Linked DNA regions of Saccharomyces cerevisiae S288C. The main gene of each other region encodes a partner of the protein of the gene in region 3 in a complex. Each region holds a gene or a part of one and is shown on either strand. Other genes may lie near its edges. The genes, in order: RET1, RPA135, RPC19 and RPC37.

Region 1 (7,151 bases), on a different chromosome or scaffold from region 3:
TAATAAAACTTTGCGGGTTAAACAATAACGAATTTTTGACTTTGTGTAGTTTAATGATGTCATTCATATCTACGCCGCATGAATCTAACCAATTCTTGTATTGTAATTGGTAAACAATAAACGGCTCGGATACAGCCATGGTAATGGAAGTAAGGTCACCATTATGCGGAAGGTCACAATCTTGACTGATATTATCATTTTGTGGAGCTGTTTTCTTGACTTGAAAGACTCTGAGAACACAGCCATTAATATTGCAAATATTCTCCCAGGTGTTCTGAAGTTTGATAGTGTGGTTGGAATATGACAGATTATTCCAGTAAATATCCCATTTTCTTAAATTCAATTCATCGTCAGAATTCAATGATATTATTACTTTAACTTTATTTAAAGTAATAACCTTCCAAAAATCATCCATCGTAGAAGGAAGCGGAGCTTGGGTAGCAATATACTTGAAATCAGGATTAATTTGCGTGAGCTTCAAATAGTTCGCATTGATATAGTCGTTCGGTTTGCAGGAGTGGTTTTTTGCATCTACGGGACACATCGGATATGACTTATCTGTTTTAGTTTCGGTTGTGGATGCTTCAGAAACTGCAGGTGGTTTCGGGGAGTGAGGTAACTTTACTCTTGAATGTTCGTAAGGTAAGATATTAGAATATCTATTCTTAGTAAAAGACTGAATTCCTTCAGTAAGTTCGTAATCATTTATTGGTGACATTATAGTATCATCGGAAGATAATGGTGATGGCGAAGAAGATGTGTTGTTTTTTGGTATAATTAATTTTAGCTTTTGATTTTTCTGTATGTTGCTTTTCAAAGAACTTTTATACTGTCGTTGCAAACTAGTTAAAGAATATAATTTTGAATCATCCGTGGATTGCGGACCCCTCTGCTTTTGTGATAGCTGCTTTTGATGTAAAGGCTTTTTCTTGAATTTCAGGCATTTCTCTAATCTTTGCATTTCAAAATTTTCTAAAGTTTCAAAATTGTTAAAGAGTTTCTTTAATATTACCTTTTCATTTTCTTTTACGGAGCAGAATTTTAGCCAATTCGGTAAAATCGTGTCGTTAGGTGCTAAGTCAGCAGGCATATTGAATTGGAAAAACTTTTGCAAAGAATTAGGAGAATAATGAATTAGATCCTTTTTCAGAGACTGTAAAAATATTTTATTTGAATCATTGGGTGGAGGTATGTTTATTCTTAAATTTAAAGTTGACCTTGAAGTTAAGTTTACATTCAAGTTCAAATCCAATTTGGGCAAGATGCAATTTTTCTTATTTTTTCCTAATGAGGGGGCCTTGCTATCATTCAGAGAGCCTTCGAGAAGAAAGAATTTCAAATAAGGAGATGGAAAAAAATGGCAGATGAACTTTTTAAACTTCTCAATGAGGCAAAAAGTTGTCTTTAAACAACTCGAAATTCTGCTAAACGAATCACTGAAAATGAAAATATCATAATCTTTGATGATCTTTGTGAACTCAATATACTTTTCATCAGATCCAAGGTAATTCTTTAGTAAGTTCTCGAACGGGTAGTTCGACCTTTTCACCAAAGTGCTGGGTAGCGGCAACGATAAAACTGTGATATCCTTAGCATTGGTATTGCCTAAAAATGAGTTGGTATTGGGGCCAGCGCACAGATCTAGTAAAAGTATTTTAGAATGCCTATTAGAGTTGTTCCGCCGTATGTTAACGTCGTCCAAATCTTTGCACGGTTTAATTTGATTTTGGGGAAGGTTAGACAGATTTATAGTTTCACCTCTATAGACGGGCATTTGACCAGGTGTTCTAGTTTGATTGACTTGTATGTGGCCCTTTTCCGATATAGCGGAAGAAGCCATTCTATTGCCGTTATTGTCTCTTTTGCCATTACGATATTGCTGTGCTATGCGATCCATCAATAGCAACGTCGATCCTATTTTATTGTAAACTATTAATAGCACTGGGGATCGGACCTAGGCTTCCAAACTAAGCGAAAAGGGCTGTGCAAAGCGGAAGAGGGGAACCAGGGGAATCGGGTCTGTCAGGTTGAGTGATCTCGTCTTTCTTGTCAAAGGTCGCAGCGCGGTGTTCAAAGAAAGATGATGATTCAAAGTTGGCACTTCCCAAAGGTTTTAATAGGTGCATTATTTTTATATATTCCTTATTGTTAGGTGTACTACACATAAAGATATAAATAGTTCCATAAAGCAGGCGCGTATTTTCCAGATCACGTCGGACGAAATTGTAATTGTGAGATGAGCTGAAAATTTTTCGATCTATGCTTAAGTGATGATATATGGACAAGTTAGGAAAGAATTAAAGGGAGTTTAAAGTGTTGATAATTGAGCGTTTTAATCGCTAGGGACTTAGTGCTTGTTGAAAAATGGTTGCTGCGACAAAAAGACGGAAAACTCATATACATAAGCATGTGAAAGACGAGGCTTTTGATGATTTATTGAAACCAGTATATAAAGGTAAGAAACTAACTGATGAAATCAATACTGCTCAGGATAAGTGGCACCTTTTACCAGCATTCTTGAAGGTTAAAGGTTTGGTGAAGCAACATCTTGACTCATTTAACTACTTCGTTGATACAGATTTAAAAAAAATTATAAAGGCAAATCAATTAATTTTGAGTGATGTTGATCCAGAATTCTACCTGAAGTACGTCGATATTAGAGTGGGTAAGAAGTCCTCTTCTTCGACAAAAGATTATTTGACTCCGCCTCATGAGTGTAGGCTTAGAGATATGACATACTCTGCACCAATCTACGTGGATATAGAATACACTAGAGGTAGAAACATTATTATGCATAAAGACGTGGAAATTGGTAGGATGCCGATCATGCTGAGATCTAATAAATGTATCCTATATGATGCTGATGAATCGAAAATGGCTAAATTAAACGAGTGTCCGTTGGATCCTGGTGGTTACTTTATTGTTAACGGTACCGAAAAAGTAATTCTTGTTCAAGAACAATTATCCAAGAATCGTATTATTGTGGAGGCAGATGAGAAGAAAGGCATTGTTCAGGCCTCCGTTACTTCATCTACCCATGAAAGAAAATCTAAGACTTATGTCATTACCAAAAATGGCAAGATCTATTTGAAGCACAATTCCATCGCTGAAGAAATTCCTATTGCTATTGTTCTCAAAGCCTGTGGTATTTTATCAGATTTAGAAATTATGCAATTGGTTTGCGGTAATGATAGTAGCTACCAAGATATTTTTGCAGTCAATTTGGAAGAATCTTCGAAATTAGATATTTACACACAACAGCAAGCTTTAGAGTATATTGGTGCAAAAGTAAAGACAATGAGAAGGCAAAAACTGACTATCCTGCAAGAGGGTATAGAGGCCATTGCTACCACGGTTATTGCACATTTGACTGTGGAAGCCCTTGACTTTAGAGAAAAGGCTTTATATATTGCCATGATGACGCGCAGGGTGGTGATGGCAATGTATAACCCTAAGATGATTGATGATAGAGATTATGTTGGTAATAAACGTCTTGAATTAGCAGGCCAATTGATTTCTTTATTGTTCGAAGATTTGTTCAAAAAGTTTAATAATGATTTTAAACTAAGCATTGATAAGGTCTTGAAAAAACCAAATAGGGCTATGGAATACGATGCATTATTGTCAATTAACGTCCATTCAAATAACATCACCAGCGGACTGAACAGAGCTATCTCAACCGGTAATTGGTCTCTTAAAAGATTTAAGATGGAAAGAGCGGGTGTTACACATGTTCTTTCCAGACTATCTTATATTTCCGCATTGGGTATGATGACAAGAATTTCTTCTCAGTTTGAAAAATCAAGAAAAGTTTCCGGTCCAAGAGCATTACAACCTTCTCAATTTGGTATGCTTTGTACTGCAGATACTCCAGAAGGTGAGGCGTGTGGTCTAGTGAAAAATTTAGCATTAATGACTCATATTACTACAGATGACGAAGAGGAACCTATAAAGAAATTATGTTATGTTCTTGGTGTAGAAGACATAACATTGATTGACAGTGCATCCTTGCATTTAAACTATGGTGTTTATTTGAATGGTACTTTAATTGGTTCAATCAGATTCCCAACAAAATTCGTTACTCAGTTCAGACATCTGAGAAGAACAGGTAAAGTGTCGGAGTTTATCTCAATTTATTCAAATTCTCACCAAATGGCAGTTCATATTGCAACAGATGGTGGTAGAATTTGTAGGCCATTAATCATTGTTTCTGATGGTCAATCTCGCGTGAAAGATATTCATTTACGCAAATTATTAGATGGTGAGTTAGATTTCGATGATTTTTTGAAACTCGGATTGGTGGAATATTTAGATGTCAATGAAGAAAACGATTCTTACATTGCATTGTATGAAAAAGATATAGTTCCCTCGATGACACATTTAGAAATCGAGCCATTCACAATTTTAGGTGCTGTTGCTGGTTTAATTCCATATCCACATCATAACCAATCCCCTCGTAACACATATCAATGTGCGATGGGTAAGCAAGCGATTGGTGCAATCGCCTACAATCAATTCAAGAGAATAGATACATTATTATACTTGATGACTTATCCACAACAGCCAATGGTGAAAACCAAAACAATTGAATTGATCGATTATGATAAATTACCTGCTGGTCAAAATGCTACGGTTGCTGTCATGTCCTATTCTGGTTATGATATTGAAGATGCTTTGGTTTTGAATAAGTCATCCATCGATAGAGGTTTCGGCCGTTGCGAAACACGTAGAAAGACAACCACTGTTTTGAAAAGATATGCGAACCATACCCAAGATATCATCGGTGGTATGAGAGTTGATGAAAATGGAGATCCTATCTGGCAACATCAATCTCTTGGTCCTGATGGTCTAGGTGAGGTGGGTATGAAGGTCCAAAGTGGACAAATTTATATAAATAAGTCAGTTCCAACTAACTCAGCAGACGCCCCAAACCCAAACAACGTAAACGTCCAAACTCAATATAGGGAAGCTCCGGTAATATATAGAGGTCCAGAACCTTCTCACATTGACCAAGTTATGATGTCTGTTTCGGATAACGATCAAGCTTTAATCAAAGTTTTGCTAAGACAAAACAGAAGGCCAGAATTAGGTGACAAATTTTCTTCTAGACATGGTCAAAAAGGTGTTTGTGGTATTATTGTAAAGCAAGAAGACATGCCCTTCAACGATCAAGGTATAGTTCCAGACATTATCATGAACCCTCACGGTTTTCCATCTCGTATGACTGTGGGTAAAATGATCGAACTGATATCGGGTAAAGCTGGTGTATTGAATGGTACATTGGAATATGGTACTTGTTTTGGTGGTTCTAAACTTGAAGATATGTCTAAGATTTTGGTAGACCAAGGTTTCAACTATTCCGGTAAGGATATGTTATATTCAGGTATAACAGGTGAGTGTTTACAGGCTTACATCTTTTTTGGCCCCATTTACTATCAAAAGTTAAAGCATATGGTCTTAGATAAGATGCATGCAAGAGCTCGTGGTCCAAGGGCTGTTTTGACACGTCAACCAACTGAGGGTAGATCTAGAGATGGTGGTCTGAGGTTGGGTGAGATGGAGAGGGATTGTGTAATCGCGTATGGTGCTTCACAATTGCTGTTAGAAAGGTTGATGATTAGTTCAGATGCTTTTGAAGTTGATGTCTGCGATAAATGTGGATTAATGGGCTATAGTGGTTGGTGTACTACCTGCAAAAGTGCTGAGAATATTATTAAGATGACTATTCCATATGCAGCAAAACTGTTATTCCAGGAATTATTATCCATGAACATAGCCCCAAGATTAAGATTGGAAGATATCTTCCAGCAGTAAGAAATCATATATCTTGTACTAAATTTTGCGTTATGTTAGCAATCATATCTATTTCGTGAGGAACTTTAAGAGAGTTGAACGATTTCGAAAATTATATAACAGTAAACCGTACTTCTTTCATTTTTGTACCTTGCTTTACATCATTACTTTTTATAAGATCCATCGAACGTTTGACGTGTTTTCTATCCATAAACCGGCCAAAATATAAAAATATCCAGCTGACAAGAGAAAGCTTGGAGTGCTCACATGTTAGCACATGTGAGCACAATGATATATACGCTTTAAAAAAGACTTTTCTTTATTTTACACATTTATAGACTTAACTATTGAATTCAAGACAAAAAATCAAATCTTGCTGAGTTGTTAAGCGTCTGACATTTCAACATCTTCGTTGTCATCATCACTTTCCAGACTGTTTAATAATTTTGCTTCTTCTGTTTCTCTTTCTTTGTCTTGTTCTTCCATACTTTCTCTCATTAATCTGGCCTTTTCTTCCTTAACTTCACGTTGTACTGCAACATAAGAACCTAAAGGTGTTTTATTCCAAGCTACATCATTCAAAAATCTTGAAACTTCAGATTTGTTTGTTGGCCCAAATTCAACATCTGATCTCTTTTCTTGGATGAATGTGCTGTTTTGGTTCAATTTTTCTACAACAGTTGATAAACGTTTGTTAAGTTTGACATTAGTTGAAGTCTTGATGTAACGGCGTAAAGAGATAATAACCGGTGTTACAAGTTCAGGAAATGCAATGTTTTTACAGTACAGAGCAAAATAATCGCCCAATAAGTCCACAAACTGTTCTGACAAACCCTCTTGGTATATTTTTGTATTCAGATAAGCTTGCGTACATTTGATGTTGTGCTCAAAATCGAAAGCAGCCAAGTTAGGGCTCTTTTTGGGTGCCTTAGTGAAAGCCGTTGAGGTTAAAATTTCAGAAAGTAAAGGATATATTGGAATAAAAACACCACTATTTTGAGAAAGTCTAATAAGTGATTTAATCAAATAAAATCTTAATGGGAAGAATTGTGGTGTTGGGATTAATCTGATTACACCCAAAGTAACCTGAACCAATGGGTAAATTAATTGTCGTAAAGGAGATTCACTGCCATTTTCCTTTTCTGGTTGACAAGCAAACGATAGTACACGAGACCAGAAATCCAAGGAGTGACAGAATTGCCAGTTGTATACAATCTTGTAAGCTTCTGCGGAATTAATTTTACTGGATTTTTTAGTTGTCGCGTTCATTGTATTTCTTAAATGAATTGCCAATTGCCTAATATACTCAAATCCAACTTGGTAACCTAGAACTTCATCGATACCGAACAATTCAGCTG
Region 2 (7,277 bases), on a different chromosome or scaffold from region 3:
TCTAGGTTTAAACTACGGGGCTCCATACCTTATCTCTTCACTTATCAAAAGTAGGCAAAAGAAAAGAAAATAAATATAATTTCTTTTTCTGCAGGCAAGATTTTAAAAGAACTTGCGCGTCCTCTGTGCAATCTACCTGGGGAGTCTCGGGCTTTAACCGCTCCCCATTCTAAACTGCTTCCATTGACGTGTACTATACTGCTCACTTCTTGCTCTTCGAGCAACAAAATCTGTATTACGTTTCTTACACTAGTCGAGTGAAAGAGATAAGATACCCACTTTTACTTGCCGGGAGAATGGAAAAGAGAAAACGGAAGAAAGGGCTTAAATACATTTTCCTTTAATATGAACATCCTACTGTAAGATAAAAATTGGATGCTGATAATGGAAAGGAGACATGTACGGTATGTACGGCAAAACCTCGGCGGGTTTTCGCCGCTAGCTCATATATTCTTTCGTTAAATTTTAAAATTTCTTATTCTAAATCTTCTTTACATGTTTGGAAAGAATTTATTGGAGAGAAAAATCTAGACCTGCCAAGCCGATAAACGAATGCCTGCGAAGAAATAGTGTAAATATTACTCCTGAAGGTAGAGTCATCTAGGCGGAGACGAAAACAAAGTTTAGCTTTTCGTGAAATTGCCCATTTCATGTTTATCAACCACCAAAGGTTAAATGGAGGTTTGACAAAAGAAATTTTCTTGCTAAAGGTTAGCATTTTTTTTGGAATTTTTTTTCCTTCGACTGGCTGTAGTTGTCCTTCTATATTACGTACAACAAAAACTTTCTTGAATGAAGAATTAGTTCTATCATATAGACCATAAGAAAGAAAACGCACTTGGATAATTTTTAACAAAGAAGAGGGCAAACTGACGCTCACCAAGCTATTGGTTTGTTTGGATCAATCGTCAGATATGAAGCCGAACAATCGAACTTGTGATGTAATTACCAACAAAGATGAATCTCTTCCTGCACTTTTGCTGCCTGCACTGAACAGTTACACCTGTGACGATTCATTGCTAAAAGGACAAATTTCAAGCAATGGCAGATATCAACCATTCGGGTTTTCTGATTGCTCTTTACTGCCAAAGCGTTTAAACATTCAGGCAGGGCAAGGATCTATGCCAGTTTCTTCGATTCAATGTGCAGACCACAGTTATAGTAATTGGCAAAAAGAATCCGAAAAGACTAAGCTTCCCAAGCTTGGTTGCCCAACAGAGTACACTGAATACTATAAAACTGTTTCTTCCGGCGAAACAACCGATTCAGCGGTTGTTTCATCTATAGCAACGAACAGACTCAAAAGAAAACGTCAGAGGGACGGCCCAAGTTGTGACTCTTGTAGGATAAAGAAAATAAAATGCAATGCAACAATCATTATCTTTTTACAGGATAGGAACCTAATTTCATCAATTTCTTCAAATTTGCATTATACACTTTCCCAAGACGACATAAACCAGTTTCGAATGAAGTTTTTCAGGAAACTGCCTGACGTGATGGGCACATATGAAGTCATAAAACACCTTGATAAAATAGTCCTTTTCAAAGCCTGCACCTCTTGCAGTAGAAGAAACCAAAAAAATGGAAAGTGTCTTTTTTCGAGAGGATTTACAAAATCTGATATGAACGTATTTCCCAAGATAAATAGTAAACTTAAAGACAAAAGTATCTTCGAGATGACTGTCGATGATTATGTTGCCGCTGGCTTCCAAACCCTTTAGGTTTCATGCATGTAATTTCCTCCTATGTAAAATATAGGAATATTAATAAAACGCACCAATAATAAGTTAGATATTTTTCTGCAAGATATAAATTTGTTTACTCATACATATATATTCTATTGCGGGGCGCTCTTGTATAAGTAATTCAATAAAAAACCTCTATATGATACAATTGACCAAGCCTTCATTTACCATTCTATATCAATTTGGAAAGAAGGGTATTTCTCTATTTGGGCTCTACATTATAACGCAATCTTATACCCATTGCGGATAGCTCAGAGTCCAAGTACTTCAACACAAATGGTATGGCCACCGTAGTTGTTTCATTACCACCAACAAATTTGTTACCTTGTCCATCTTCCCAAATTTGAGAGTCGTCAATAAAAATTTTCTCTCCATCTTCTGATTTAGTCAATAGCTTCTTTGCATCTTCGAATCTCATGGAACAACGACGGCAACAAACGGTGGAAATCGAACCAATTCTTGGCACACTCTGTTGCGTGGTCAAAATAGAACCACACTCGCGACATACGGATGCCTGTGTGTAGTCTGATGAATTTAGCAGACGATCTTGTAATAGAAAAGATGTACCATGCCCAATCAAAGCATCTCTTTCCATTTCACCGACACGAATACCACCATGTCTCTTTCTACCTTTGACAGGCTGCATAGTCAAACTATTCACAGGACCAGTGGAACGAACTTGGAACTTGTCATTGACCATATGACGTAATCTTTGGTAGTAGACAACACCAACATAAATATCTGCCCTTAATTCTTCACCAGTAGCACCTGAGTACATTGGCTCATTACCATGGTAGTTGTAACCCGCCTTCGCTAGTTGCTCACCAAAGTAATCGGCTGGGGTATCGTCCTCGTTAAAGATCCAAGGTGTAGAGTCCTGTGCAATACCATGCAATGCCCCCGCTTTACCTGCTAAAGATTCGACGAACATACCAATGGTCATACGCGAAGGGAAAGCATGAGGGTTAATGATGATGTCTGGTTGGATACCTGTTTCGCTAAAAGGCATATCAATGGTTGGCCATTTTCTTGAACAAACACCTTTTTGACCGTGTCTAGAAGAAAATTTATCACCAATTTGAGGCGTTCTTCTAATACGATATTTTATGCTAACAGTTTGTAGTTCTTGGAACTTATTGGATTCATCACCGATTAAATTTACCTCTTCGATATATGCTGGTTCAGAGGAGTGATATGTCTTGATTTTGGTCTTATTTAAAGTATCGTCAAAGTATGCGCAGATTGGATCACCCTCTTCAACATAAGTGCCAATGTATGGCAAACCATCCTCGTCTAATTTCTCAAGCCACTCCTTTGGCCATTCGTCATTCCCGAAACCAAAATGCTGTGTAATTGGGTCACCACGGTTTCTGTTAAGTGCTAAATCCACTTTCTCAGTCTTATACATAGTACCATAACCGAAACCTCTTTCATCTGCTGATTTGTTTATAATCATTGCATCATCCATATCATAACCAGTATACGAGATGACCGCAACAACAGCATTAAACCCGTTTGGAAAGTTATCCATGCCATAATCATCATATAAATTAGCTTTTACGATAGGCGTTTGACCTGTTTGCAACCTATACAGCTTATTGTCGGAACGATGGCACAAAGCTACACCCGGAGTACCCATTGTTTGTTTACCCATCTGACATTGATACATGTTTCTTGGAGACTGGTTGAAATCAGAAAATGGAGTCAAATTAGCCAAAATAGAAAGAATATTTGTGGGCGTAAATTCTACGTGTGTATGAACGTTATTTTGAATTTCTTGAGGAGTGACAGCAATGTTCATGTACACTTGCTCAAAAGGTCCAACAATGTCTTCTTTATCCAAAGGCAGGTAACGAACAGGACGCAGCATCCTAGAATGACCACCAAATAGGTAGAGACCTGGATATTGACCACGAGTTGAGGGAGGAACATATCCAATTTCTAGATCAATCGGTAACCCAGGCGTCTTGCCTTCAACTTTCCAATATCTCAATGTATCCGCAATGATCTTACCTTGTTCATGAGAGACCCAGCCAATAATTTTACCATCAATTTGAACACAACACAGAGAAGGACCAGCAGCAAAGGTGTGAGATGCCGGAGCAACACCAAGTGAGTATAATATAGAAGGAATTCTTGAGACGTCAGATTGCTGAGTTGATATACGACACTTGTGCGCAAAATGGTTTAATAAACCACAAGGAGAACCATCTGGTGTATGAACAGGGCACAGGAATCCCCACGACTCAGGTAGCAACTTTCTGACTGTGGTAGTTTTCAATTGCGCAAAAAAGGAGCCTCTATGAACCATTCTAAAATGAGAGATAAAACGGTAGAAGTTAATTTTTTCTGCAACCACAGTATAACCAGAAACTTGTTGTAAATCTAACCCAGACTGGGACACCAGGTTACCAGTTGATAAAAAGTATTGCATTTTGGAACCAATGTTTTCATTAACCCTCATTAAAACTCTTGACATGTACCTTTTGTCTTTGAAATTAATGGCCATACCACGGTTAATATCCATCCTGACTTGAGCAATAATATTCTGTAAGTACTCATCAATCTTTTCTTTTAGGATCATACCATATAAGAAACCACCCAAAAGAACTTCTTGATGTTGCGTAGCATCTGGGTTATCTGGAGAACATTCGCCTGCAACCAAGGAATACAACTTTCTGATCATGAACAATAACATTCTGAATTTATCCTGGCTGCCATCCTTACCCAAATGCACGAGAACGATGCGATCAAGGACTTCTTGTCCGACTTCTAAATCAGATTGATCAGGGGAAGCTTGAAAGACAACACGAAATTTGTCTCCTAAATATTGCAAGACTTGTGTGCGATTTTGTAAATGAGGATATCTTTTCTTAAAACCACGTAACAGTAATTCTAAACGATCGGTCAAAAAGGAATCCTTAACGTCATTACCAATAATACCATCAAAAATTTCCCTATCGCTGGTATGACACAAGGCTTTTAAAATCATAACAACAGGAACTAAATATTCATTTTTTCTCCAAGAAAATCTAAATGTAACTTGACCGTCATTTAAGTAATGCAAAACATTAGTTTGGGAAGTTTGATCCGGCCTGACAGATCTAATTTGAATACCGTAATGAGAATAGGATGCACCCCTGTTAGCGAAGGAAGGTCTGATGATAGCCATAGGATGATTTCTACGTTGCACAATCAGCATTCTAATAAGCTTTTCTATACCGTTAACAATGAAATAACCACCTATTTCATCGGATTCTTCCTTGTGTTGTACCAGTTCATATGGTGACATCTTGTTCAAGTGACATCTGTTACTCTGTAGCATAACTGGTAGACCACCACAATCTCTTACTTCAAATAAGTTCTCCTCGCCATTGTTCACGGACCACTTCAACTTTAAAAGTAATTTACCTCTGTAAGAAGTAAGCCTTTGTCTTGACTCACTTGGGTAAACTTTTCTCTCTACTGCAGAAGAAACACCATCGTTAGACATTGGCTTCGCAATAGACACTTGTTCCACACTAACAGAAAGCTTATTCCCGAGGTATCCGCTGTTGGATATTTCGTCTTCAGAATTGAGTGGTTTTCCATCAAATATAACTTTTTCACCGATGTCTTTAACACCAAGATTTAACAAACCTCCATCCGGACCTTCTGTTAATGCGTTAAAAGACCCAATATGAGGTTGAACAGCTTCCTGTAATAGTGGAAATGCTGATTTATCCTTAGGTGGATTGATGAACCTAGATTCACGTTCTAAGGTACGGAAATCAGCAGTTCTGGCTTGGCCAGGCGGCTTAATCACTTTGCTCATCTCACCAAATGCGTAATTCTACGTTTATTTGTCAATATTCTTGAGGAAGACTTGCTTGAATATTACGAGACAGCTGAAGTAAGTTTGAATAATTAAGAGATGAGATGAGTCTCTAAGATGCGCTTGAAAAATTTTTCATACGAAAAAAAAAAAAAAAAAAAAAAAAAAACACTCGCAAGAGTAATCTCAATAATAATTTCCGTCATTAGCGATTATAGCATGAAGGGAGGCCGAGAGGCCGCTTCTGCGGTATGATAATTAAGTGGTAGTGCAGAGACTCAAAAGGGCGCTGAGAATCTATTAGAAATGCCATTAAGTGCTTTGAACTCTTGTAGCATGTCTGCTTCTGTAGATATAACACTCTGATGCAGATTTATGAATAATTTCATCACTCGATGTCATCAGCGTCTTCCTTCATTTGATGCTTTTTTGAAGTTTTCATGGCATGATTTAGCATTTGAAATATAATGAGAAAAGAGCCCTTTAACTTACAGAAGTAAATGTACAAAACTTAATCGGAGGAAGAAGCTTAAACATACAAAAACAACAGCAGGATGACTACAAAGAAGCCGTTAAACAAATCTTTTTGTCTCCGTTACTAATTCACTAATATAGTAATTTTGCTAACCTCTATCGTCATTGAAACTGATTTGTCCTCGAGAAGGCAACAATCAAACTGCAAAAGAAACGTAAAGCAACGACTTGAACAAGTAATCGCTAACCACATATTGAGATAAGCAGATAATCGCTGTTAAACGTCGTTGATACAGTCAGTCAATATGAATAGTGTAGTATTTTATCGTTAGGTTCACCTTCCAAATATTCGTTAGATAAAGATGTTTCGGTTTTTTATTTCAACAAAAGAGCCTTGTTGGCGCAATCGGTAGCGCGTATGACTCTTAATCATAAGGTTAGGGGTTCGAGCCCCCTACAGGGCTTTCTTTTTTATTGCATGGTCTATCATCAGGTTCCCTTAACCGCTGCCAAGAAAGAGCACGTGTAAAAATGGAATGATTATACATCAATTAAACATATAGTCATGGTGGTGTTGACATGTATATAATATACATTAGTTTTGTCATATTTGAAGAATAAATAATATTTCGATTTGTTCCCGACAATTATTGAAAATGTTTTAAGTGTAGATATTAATATAACAAATCATCAACATGGTTTTTAATCCTTATCTTTGGCAAGGACTTCATCTAAACTAGATAATTCTGGGTTACCTGTCAATCTCAAAGTCTCGTCAGTTCTTAATTTCTTATATGTGAAGTATGTCCCAGAGCATAAAGCTACACCAACAGCGAGAAATAACGGTGTTAATTCGACGGGTATTTTGTAGCCACCAGATGTTTTTTTCTAGTTTTTTGTTAGTATAATACTCTATAATCTTGTAGTTAGCATTCATAATCAACATAATTGTTTTCTTAGAAAGCATCAAGTCAGAATGAACGCATGATTATCCGTTTGTCACAATAAAAAGAAAATATCCCTTAACATACAGCTGTATTCAACAGTAACTGTGCTGGTCTCATTTTTCTATATTTTTCTTTTTTTAAAGTATTGTCAGAAGTCGTTCAGGAAACTACCAAAATTAAATAAGTCTCAAAACAAAGTTAGCTTATACTGGTATGGGAAGAGTTATAGTTGCTTTTGAGGAGATGGCGATGCCTTTAAAGTCTGTTCTCATGCTCATCATAAAGTACGGGAAATCC
Region 3 (4,285 bases):
CAATTTTGCTTTCACATATAAAACTAAAAAAAAAGTAAAGAACTCGGTTAATCCTCGGTTAGTTTGCCAAGCTCACCTATTAATCTTAATAGGACTTCTTGAGTTTGTTGTTTGCCCAGACCATACTTATATATTTCATGCCCACCTTCAACTATTTTCCATTCTTGAGTCTTGTGAGAAATTTTGGTCAAATCTCTTTGCCAATCGCCCCATAATGCCGACTTCTTCACCATTTCCTTAGAGCTAACGATGCTTGTCTTCACATTTTGCAAAGATTCTGCATTGTTTGTCACATCTCTGTAACTTAGAATTGAACTCGTCACGCTTTCCAAAAACTTGGAACGCAAGAAACGTCCTTGATATTTCATATCACGCCCATATATACGTTCTTTAGACCCATGATGAGCTAGTAACCATGAAGTCTGTAATCTCCATCCTAAACTCGACCAAATGCCTTTCCACCATAATCTAAATTCGTTATGCCTTTCTATCTCCGAAGGTAACCAAGTCTTATCATGGTTGCGGCCATCCCCATCATTACCATTGCCATCGTCGCCATCGTCGCCATCACCACGGCCTGGAGGTAGTAATCTTTGAATGTAGTTTTTTAACAATAGTTCTTCATGCCATGATTCAACAAGCATCATGCTATCCACAATATCGACATTCTTGGCGGTAAATACTCTTGTAAATAGCCCGCCAAGGTCGTATCCTACTGTAGTGAAGGGACCTTTAATTTTTGCATCTTTGATCAATGCGTACCTTAAAGATTCCGCAACCATCGCAATAGAGATTGGGGCGGGAGGAGAATCGCTCAACCCGTACCCTGGTCTATCGTATAGACAATATCTTTGAATTTTGTCTAAATGATATAGTTCCTCAATCCAGGTGGCAGAAAGGTAACCAGTATCATAACCTCCGTGTTCAAACAAGATGATAGGTTGCTTCTTATTTTCAGACAAATCTGTGTTGTTTTCTTGATCAAATACGTCACCATAACAAGTTATATGCAACTGATAGGTTTTAGCGGCATCTACGTAATGGAACGCCTCGTACGAGGGCGACTGAACGGTTATTGGTAATTTGTGAGTCAATCTGTAGGTATCCAATGTCGTTAAAAGTGTATTCAGGGTGAATAAAGCGAAGAATATTAAAATTAAAAACTTAATAGTATTCCTGAACCCAATGGATACCCATTCTGTCAATGTATGTTTGTTTTGGACCAGCTGCGAGCGGTGGGTGGGGGTTGGCGACCCAGAGCCATATTGGCTTCTGTCCCTGTTTTCGGTACTATTTGTATGGTTTTCGTTGAAAGTACTAATATTAGCATCATCAATTCTGCGTTCCTCCAATGGCTCATTTATTGAGTTGTTGTAAAACAAGAGATACCAATCTAATATTGCCCCAATAAAAAATGAAAACGAAGTCCACAAATATGTAAACGTGCCCACAAAGCCGATTCTTTGCCTAGTGTATTTAATTAGATAGGTCAATGCTAGATTGAACAACGTCAAAACACAGAGAGTTACATTTAAGCTGTAATCTAAAGCTGAGTACAGTCCCAGCTTATTAAACCAGAGATTGAAAGAATTAGCTATGATCGAGATGAATATTAAAGTCAAGTCGTTAAAACTTGCGTACCTGTTACTGAATCCGAAAAGAATATTGATATTGAAAAAGAAATCTGAAATCAAAGTGGTGACTAGCCAGATGGTGTTAATTAGAATTAGGATATTTAATATCCATTTGGAGTTATGAATAAAGATTCTATAACCTTTGCGAATTTGAAAGAGACTATCTTTGATGAACCCATCGGATTCAATGTCACGACCTTCATTAACTGCTGGGCCATTCGCGGATCCTGCACCAAGGGTCCGGTGGTTGTTGTTCAGCAACGGTTGCGCTTCTGGGTGTTCACTATCTATATCTGTTCTTTCCATTCCCGTCCTTGCCGGATCATTATCTAAACCATTAGCCTTCATGATCTGTTCGCTCTGATGCCTACAGTTCTTTCTTCAATGGCTTTCCTTTCCTTTCCTCCTTATAGAATATAGCAAGGCATCTAACTTTTAGTTTTTCTCTCATCCCTTTAAACTGCACGATGGTTAAAATTAGGGGTCCGAATAGCCTTGCAAGGAATAGATTAAAGAACACTATATATGCATAGCCACTTCAAAACGTGCTGAGAACATGCCATCAAGGTTGACCAATACGATTGCTGATTCGACAACTTCTACATTACATAGGCATATACATATCAGAAAAACGTGCTTTATAGGTACATTTTTTAATTCCTTAAACATAACTTGCTTCTATTTTGGGATAGTTCCTTTTCTTTGAACTACGTTTTTTGGGCAGAAATATAAAAAAAAACCGAAAAAAACGGCACGCAAGAAAGCTTATTCAAAAAGACGCAACAATATCATAGATTATTCTAAGTACCAACAACGTGATAAACTTTGTTCTAATAAAGCTACATCTTATCTCTTCTGTACAGCTTTATTGGGGTGAATCATATTTACTTCAATCCGGGTAATGGTAAACGTAACAAGTGATAGAAATATTCACCTGCGATGAGCTGGAAAAAAAAAAAATTTCAAAAGAAAACCATACTAATGCTGAGGTATAAAGTAACGAATTGGGGAAAGGCCATCAATCCAAAGTCGGAAAAATTGAACTTCACATAAAGTACCAGGCAAATGACTGAAGACATCGAACAAAAAAAGACCGCTACAGAGGTAACACCACAAGAACCAAAGCACATCCAAGAAGAAGAAGAACAGGATGTTGATATGACTGGCGATGAAGAACAGGAAGAGGAACCAGACAGGGAAAAAATTAAGCTTCTCACACAGGCAACATCTGAAGATGGAACTAGTGCCTCTTTTCAAATTGTAGAGGAGGATCACACGCTTGGAAATGCCCTTCGTTACGTTATAATGAAAAATCCAGACGTAGAATTTTGTGGTTACTCGATACCTCATCCTTCTGAAAACCTATTAAATATCAGAATTCAAACCTACGGTGAAACGACCGCGGTGGATGCTCTTCAAAAAGGGCTAAAGGACTTGATGGATTTATGTGACGTTGTAGAATCTAAGTTTACTGAAAAAATCAAGAGCATGTAGATGTTACGGATCGACTCAAAGACCCTCTGTCACTCTGAAATTTCTAATAATTATGCACACCACGCTAGTATAGATACAGCTTGATTTGTGTATCCCGTTTATAGTCGTGCTATTTAAAATCTATGTATAATATAACCAGATAAAAATACACCTTCGTACAAGGTGCTAATAATGTTGAGAATTCGAAATTCCTTTTTAAAGGCGTATTCCGTATTGAATGATTGAAAAATTTATTTCTTTTTTTATTTCTTTTTTTTTTTTTTTTTTTTTTTTTTACGCCGATGCTCATCGCAGAAAATTTTTCCTTCAGTTTATTTGTCTTATAAAAAGACTGTCCTACGCTCAAATAACTTATACTTTTCTGTATCTCATTCAAATTATTTTCTTGTCAACAACCTGTAACAGAATTAAGCACTATTAAGGCAAATTTAGAGCAAATATGACTTACGGTGGTAGAGATCAGCAATATAACAAGACTAACTACAAGTCTAGAGGTGGCGACTTCCGCGGTGGAAGAAACTCTGATAGAAACTCTTACAATGACAGACCACAAGGCGGTAACTACCGTGGTGGTTTCGGTGGTCGTTCCAATTACAACCAACCCCAGGAATTGATCAAACCAAACTGGGATGAAGAATTACCCAAATTGCCAACTTTCGAAAAGAATTTCTATGTTGAACACGAAAGTGTTCGCGACAGATCGGACAGTGAGATTGCTCAGTTCAGAAAGGAAAATGAAATGACTATTTCCGGACACGATATTCCAAAGCCAATCACCACTTTCGATGAAGCTGGTTTCCCAGACTACGTTTTGAATGAAGTGAAGGCTGAAGGATTTGACAAACCAACTGGCATTCAATGTCAGGGTTGGCCAATGGCTTTATCTGGTAGGGACATGGTTGGTATTGCTGCCACTGGTTCCGGTAAGACTTTGTCTTATTGTTTACCAGGTATTGTTCATATCAACGCTCAACCATTATTGGCTCCAGGCGATGGACCAATTGTTTTGGTTTTGGCTCCAACTAGAGAATTGGCTGTTCAAATTCAAACAGAATGTTCCAAGTTTGGTCATAGTTCCAGAATCAGAAATACCTGTGTCTACGGTGGTGTTCCAAAAAGTCAACAAATCAGAGATTTATCTCGTGGCTCTGAAATTG
Region 4 (4,793 bases), on a different chromosome or scaffold from region 3:
CAGTTTCCCTGAGAGCCGGTTGTGATATTTTCATGAGATTTGTCTTAAGAAATCTTCATTTATACGGTGATTGGGAAAACTGTAAACAACATTTGATTGAAAATGGCCAGCTTTTTGTATCGAGAGCCAAAAAATCGCGTAACAAGATTGCAGAAATAGGGGTGGATTTCATAGCTGATGATGATATCATCTTGGTACATGGTTATTCGAGAGCAGTATTTTCTTTATTAAATCATGCAGCAAATAAGTTTATTAGGTTCAGATGTGTGGTGACAGAATCAAGACCTAGCAAACAAGGGAACCAGCTATATACTTTACTTGAACAAAAGGGCATACCCGTGACTCTTATTGTCGATAGCGCGGTTGGAGCGGTAATCGATAAGGTTGACAAAGTGTTCGTTGGTGCTGAGGGTGTTGCTGAATCAGGTGGTATTATAAATCTCGTGGGTACCTATTCAGTGGGTGTTTTAGCACATAATGCAAGAAAACCATTCTATGTGGTCACTGAAAGTCACAAATTTGTTCGTATGTTTCCATTGTCTTCAGATGATCTACCTATGGCCGGCCCTCCTTTGGATTTCACACGTCGTACGGACGATCTAGAAGATGCATTGCGTGGGCCCACGATCGACTATACCGCCCAAGAATACATTACTGCATTGATTACAGATTTAGGGGTCCTCACTCCAAGTGCCGTTTCAGAAGAGTTAATCAAGATGTGGTATGATTAAAAAAAATCACATAATATATGCACGCAATGACTTAATAGAAAAGGAGAAAAAGCGCAAGAGCATCCTTTATGTGAAACTGATGTCTGATGCTGTTCTTTCTTCATGATGCATTATGTACTTCAAACTAGATTATCTATATAGTCTTCTTGTTTCTCTAAGGCTACTAAAGTTTTATCTTCAGCTTCTTTCACGATAGTATCTTTGAACTGTTCAAACGTGCCTTCTGCCCAGGTCAATTCAATATTAGCCTCTTCATCGGCGACTTTATGTGCCAGCAGGGAGCCAGTGAGTCTGTTTTGCGAAGGGTCGTTGACGCTCTTTACAGACATGGTAACCACTTGAGCGCGTTGTGATGAAGGATTAGGGTTCCTTCTGGCGTCCTCTTGCTTTCTTGTTACATTTGCGTCGTCGATATATTTGAAAAATGGCTTCAATTGTGCTACCCTCTCAATAGGTACCAAATAAACCTGCATATCTTTGACAAATGCTGCATATTGGCCATTGTTTTCCACACCCACGCCTTTTAATGTTTGGACATTAACCCCATTCCATTCGCTCTCAGCCTTATCCTTGTTATAGAAGGCCTGCTCATCCAAAGGAATATCTATTTCCCATAGGTGCGACTTGGGTTTATATCTTGCTGCAGAGATAAACGGATGCTCAGCAGGTTTGCGTCCTACTAGCCTTGGTCTATTAGCATACTGAAACACGTGCAGTGACTCCTCTTCTCCGGAGATCTTCAATGGAAACTCTTCGATCACTGGGTCATCCTCTTCTTCTTCACCAGTATCATCTTCAGCTTTTACTTCTTCGGATTTTTCCTCTTGCTCATTAGCTATAGCGCTGTTTGTTCCGTTCTCATCCGCTATCATATCAATGTCGTTAGATTCATCCTCAACATCAGCACGGTCCTGCGTCCTGTCTTCCTCATCCTCTTCAGTAACAAACAACTTGTTGTCAATACTCATCTATAACACTAGCCTATTCCACTTTCACCTTGCACTGCTTGAGCCAGATCATTTAAGCTCATCTCTCGCTTTTATCCATCTTTTGCATTCATTGTAACATTTCTTTTTTTCTTGAATAATTTTGTCAGAATACTAACCCTAAGGCCTGAAAAATGAACAGAGTTTTTATAAAATTTCAGTTTAAAATTGAATGTTGCCCTAACAATATGGATTAAAAACCCTGACATATTAGGTTTCCATTTTACTTGAAAAATTTGCGATGAGCTTAGGAAAATAAAAGATTGAGTACTTGTATGTGATATTTCTAATTTAAGAAAGTACGATTGTTTATATTCTTTTTCCTTTGGGATTATTCATATTCCAAATAAGCATACTTATTCAGCAATTTAACACCAAGATGAGCGATGAAGATTCTATGCTGTTAAACTTCACTACCAATGAGGACACTGCAGGAAGTTCCTATAAGCAAGCTGCCAAGGTGACAGGCGGTAGATGGAAGGATAGAAGAAGAATGAAAATGAAGCTTGAGGGCAAGACAGTCTCGAGGAAAAGAAAGGCGAACACTACAGGGGACGAAGGGATAATTCCGGGTAGAGGCGAGAATTCTATTAAAAAATTGCATAAGGAGAGTTCCTATAGTTCTGAAGAGCAGGAAAAATATAAGGGTAGAAATGCTCATAACACTCAAGGGAGAACTCTACCAGCCGATTCTCAGTTTGTTTCATCCCTGTTTACATCTAACAGAGAGATTACAACTGCGGTAAACACTAATATTCATGATGAAAACGTTGCCATCAATCCGTCTAACGCGCCCTTGAAAGGTGATCAGTTTGCGTCTTTAGGTGTCTCTAGTCTTCTTGTTTCTCATCTGGAGCAAAAAATGCGTATTAAAAAGCCTACGAGCATCCAGAAGCAGGCCATACCTCAAATAATAGGTAACGCGGGGAAGAACGATTTTTTCATTCACGCCCAAACAGGCTCAGGTAAGACTTTATCGTATCTTTTACCTATAATATCTACTATTTTGAACATGGATACTCATGTTGATCGTACTTCTGGTGCATTTGCATTGGTTATTGCTCCTACACGAGAACTAGCATCACAAATATATCATGTTTGTTCCACGCTTGTGTCATGTTGTCACTACTTGGTCCCATGTTTATTGATTGGTGGAGAACGTAAGAAATCAGAAAAAGCTAGATTGCGTAAGGGTTGCAATTTCATAATCGGTACACCAGGTCGTGTTTTGGATCATTTACAAAATACAAAAGTTATCAAGGAGCAATTGAGTCAATCTCTAAGGTATATCGTATTGGATGAAGGAGATAAGTTAATGGAATTGGGTTTTGATGAGACGATCAGTGAAATTATTAAAATTGTTCACGATATTCCCATCAACTCCGAAAAATTTCCCAAGCTACCGCATAAGTTAGTGCACATGTTATGTAGTGCTACACTTACTGATGGTGTTAATAGGTTAAGAAACGTGGCGTTGAAAGATTACAAATTGATTAGCAACGGTACCAAGAAAGATTCTGATATAGTAACGGTTGCGCCCGATCAACTATTGCAGAGGATTACTATTGTCCCACCAAAGTTGCGTCTTGTAACATTAGCTGCTACTTTGAACAACATTACCAAAGATTTCATCGCTTCCGGTCAACAGTCCAAAACGCTGCGTACAATCGTATTCGTATCATGTTCAGACAGCGTGGAGTTTCATTATGACGCATTTTCAGGAAGTGACGGGCACCATAAAAATCTAACGGGTGATTCTGTAAGACTATTGACAAAAGGAAACACTATGTTTCCTTGTTTTTCAGATTCTAGGGACCCAGATGTAGTGATTTATAAATTGCACGGTTCTTTATCCCAACAAATGAGAACCTCTACATTGCAGCATTTTGCTCGTGATAATGAAGCCACCAAGGGAAAACATCTTATTATGTTCTGTACAGATGTCGCAAGTAGAGGCCTAGACCTTCCCCACGTTGGATCTGTTATTGAGTTGGATCCACCATTTGCTGTTGAAGACCATTTACATAGAGTTGGTCGTACAGCAAGGGCCGGTGAGAAGGGTGAAAGTTTGTTATTTTTACTTCCTGGCGAAGAAGAAAAATATATGGACTATATCCAGCCGTATCATCCGATGGGTTGGGAATTACTGAAATTCGATAAAGAAATACTAATGCCGGCTTTCAAAGATGTGAATGTCAACAGAAATGATAAATTCATTAGAAAAGATGAGAAATCGTCCAAAAATAAAGACGTGGGCGATAAAGAATATGAGTGGGATACCAATGCTACGACATGGCATTTGAATATAGAAAGACGAGTAGTGGGAGATTCCGCATTCAAAAATTTGGCCGTTAAAGGTTTCATTAGTCATGTGAGGGCTTACGCAACGCATATCTCTCAAGAAAAGAAGTTTTTCAACGTGAAGTTCTTACATCTAGGCCATTTAGCTAAAAGTTTTGGGTTACGTGAAAGGCCAAAGGCTATGGGATTGCAAAGTAGTAAGGATGGTAATAGTGAAAAGAAGCCAACTAAGGAAAACTCTAAAAATAAAATGTTTCGTATGGCTCGTATGGCAGAGAAGCAAATAGCAAGTGAGTTTAACTACTAAATAGACAAGAACAAGCATTAATTCATATAAAAAAAAATTGTATACTATGAAGACAAAGAAAATGATAAAATCTACAGAAAATGAATAACGGTTATATCCTCTATCATATATAATATAAACTTTTACCATTCATCAAAGTACAGCAAGAATATTCTGTTCTACTGATGCGTCTGCATTTTGGTCCACTTGTACTCTTGACTTTAAATCATAAGCTTGCATGTCGTGAGCCTTTTCTTCCGTTTTTCTATTCTGTTGTGCAGTATCTGAATTTTTTTTCACATACGTAGGCCTATCGAATTGTTTTTTATCACGTTCGTAATCCCATGCTTTGGACTGTAAATGCAAATTCTCCAAGGATTTCGTTGTATTTATTTCACTTTTCAGAGCGTGTATATGTTTAAGGTCGCTGATATCTTCTTCGTCACTTATATCACTGATGTCATCATCTGAACCTGCAATTACGTTCTC

What was found.
Region 1: RPC19 (region 3) and RET1 share a complex: the UniProt entries of both Saccharomyces cerevisiae proteins name them as parts of the RNA polymerase III (Pol III) complex.
Region 2: RPC19 (region 3) and RPA135 share a complex: the UniProt entries of both Saccharomyces cerevisiae proteins name them as parts of the RNA polymerase I (Pol I) complex.
Region 4: RPC19 (region 3) and RPC37 share a complex: the UniProt entries of both Saccharomyces cerevisiae proteins name them as parts of the RNA polymerase III (Pol III) complex.

The regions. Positions count from the first base shown.
Region 1 is NC_001147.6:728,671-735,821, reverse strand, and holds RET1 (DNA-directed RNA polymerase III core subunit RET1), read left to right. Parts: upstream 1-2,364; coding exon 2,365-5,814; downstream 5,815-7,151. Other genes in the region: tyrosine protein phosphatase PTP2, read right to left, coding at 1-1,897; mRNA-binding ribosome synthesis protein NOC2, read right to left, coding at 6,178-7,151. UniProt on the Saccharomyces cerevisiae protein: DNA-dependent RNA polymerase catalyzes the transcription of DNA into RNA using the four ribonucleoside triphosphates as substrates. Second largest core component of RNA polymerase III which synthesizes small RNAs, such as 5S rRNA and tRNAs.
Region 2 is NC_001148.4:575,638-582,914, forward strand, and holds RPA135 (DNA-directed RNA polymerase I core subunit RPA135), read right to left. Parts: upstream 5,560-7,277; coding exon 1,948-5,559; downstream 1-1,947. Other genes in the region: SUT2 (Sut2p), read left to right, coding at 915-1,721; MRA1 (Mra1p), read right to left, coding at 6,736-6,921, 7,065-7,097. UniProt on the Saccharomyces cerevisiae protein: DNA-dependent RNA polymerases catalyze the transcription of DNA into RNA using the four ribonucleoside triphosphates as substrates. Component of RNA polymerase I (Pol I) which synthesizes ribosomal RNA precursors.
Region 3 is NC_001146.8:410,072-414,356, forward strand, and holds RPC19 (DNA-directed RNA polymerase core subunit RPC19), read left to right. Parts: upstream 1-2,699; coding exon 2,700-3,128; downstream 3,129-4,285. Other genes in the region: YNL115C (uncharacterized protein), read right to left, coding at 48-1,982; DEAD-box ATP-dependent RNA helicase DBP2, read left to right, coding at 3,568-4,285. UniProt on the Saccharomyces cerevisiae protein: DNA-dependent RNA polymerases catalyze the transcription of DNA into RNA using the four ribonucleoside triphosphates as substrates.
Region 4 is NC_001143.9:484,676-489,468, reverse strand, and holds RPC37 (DNA-directed RNA polymerase III subunit C37), read right to left. Parts: upstream 1,700-4,793; coding exon 851-1,699; downstream 1-850. Other genes in the region: GCN3 (translation initiation factor eIF2B subunit alpha), read left to right, coding at 1-731; DBP7 (putative ATP-dependent RNA helicase), read left to right, coding at 2,097-4,325; RQT4 (Rqt4p), read right to left, coding at 4,458-4,793. UniProt on the Saccharomyces cerevisiae protein: DNA-dependent RNA polymerase catalyzes the transcription of DNA into RNA using the four ribonucleoside triphosphates as substrates. Specific peripheric component of RNA polymerase III which synthesizes small RNAs, such as 5S rRNA and tRNAs.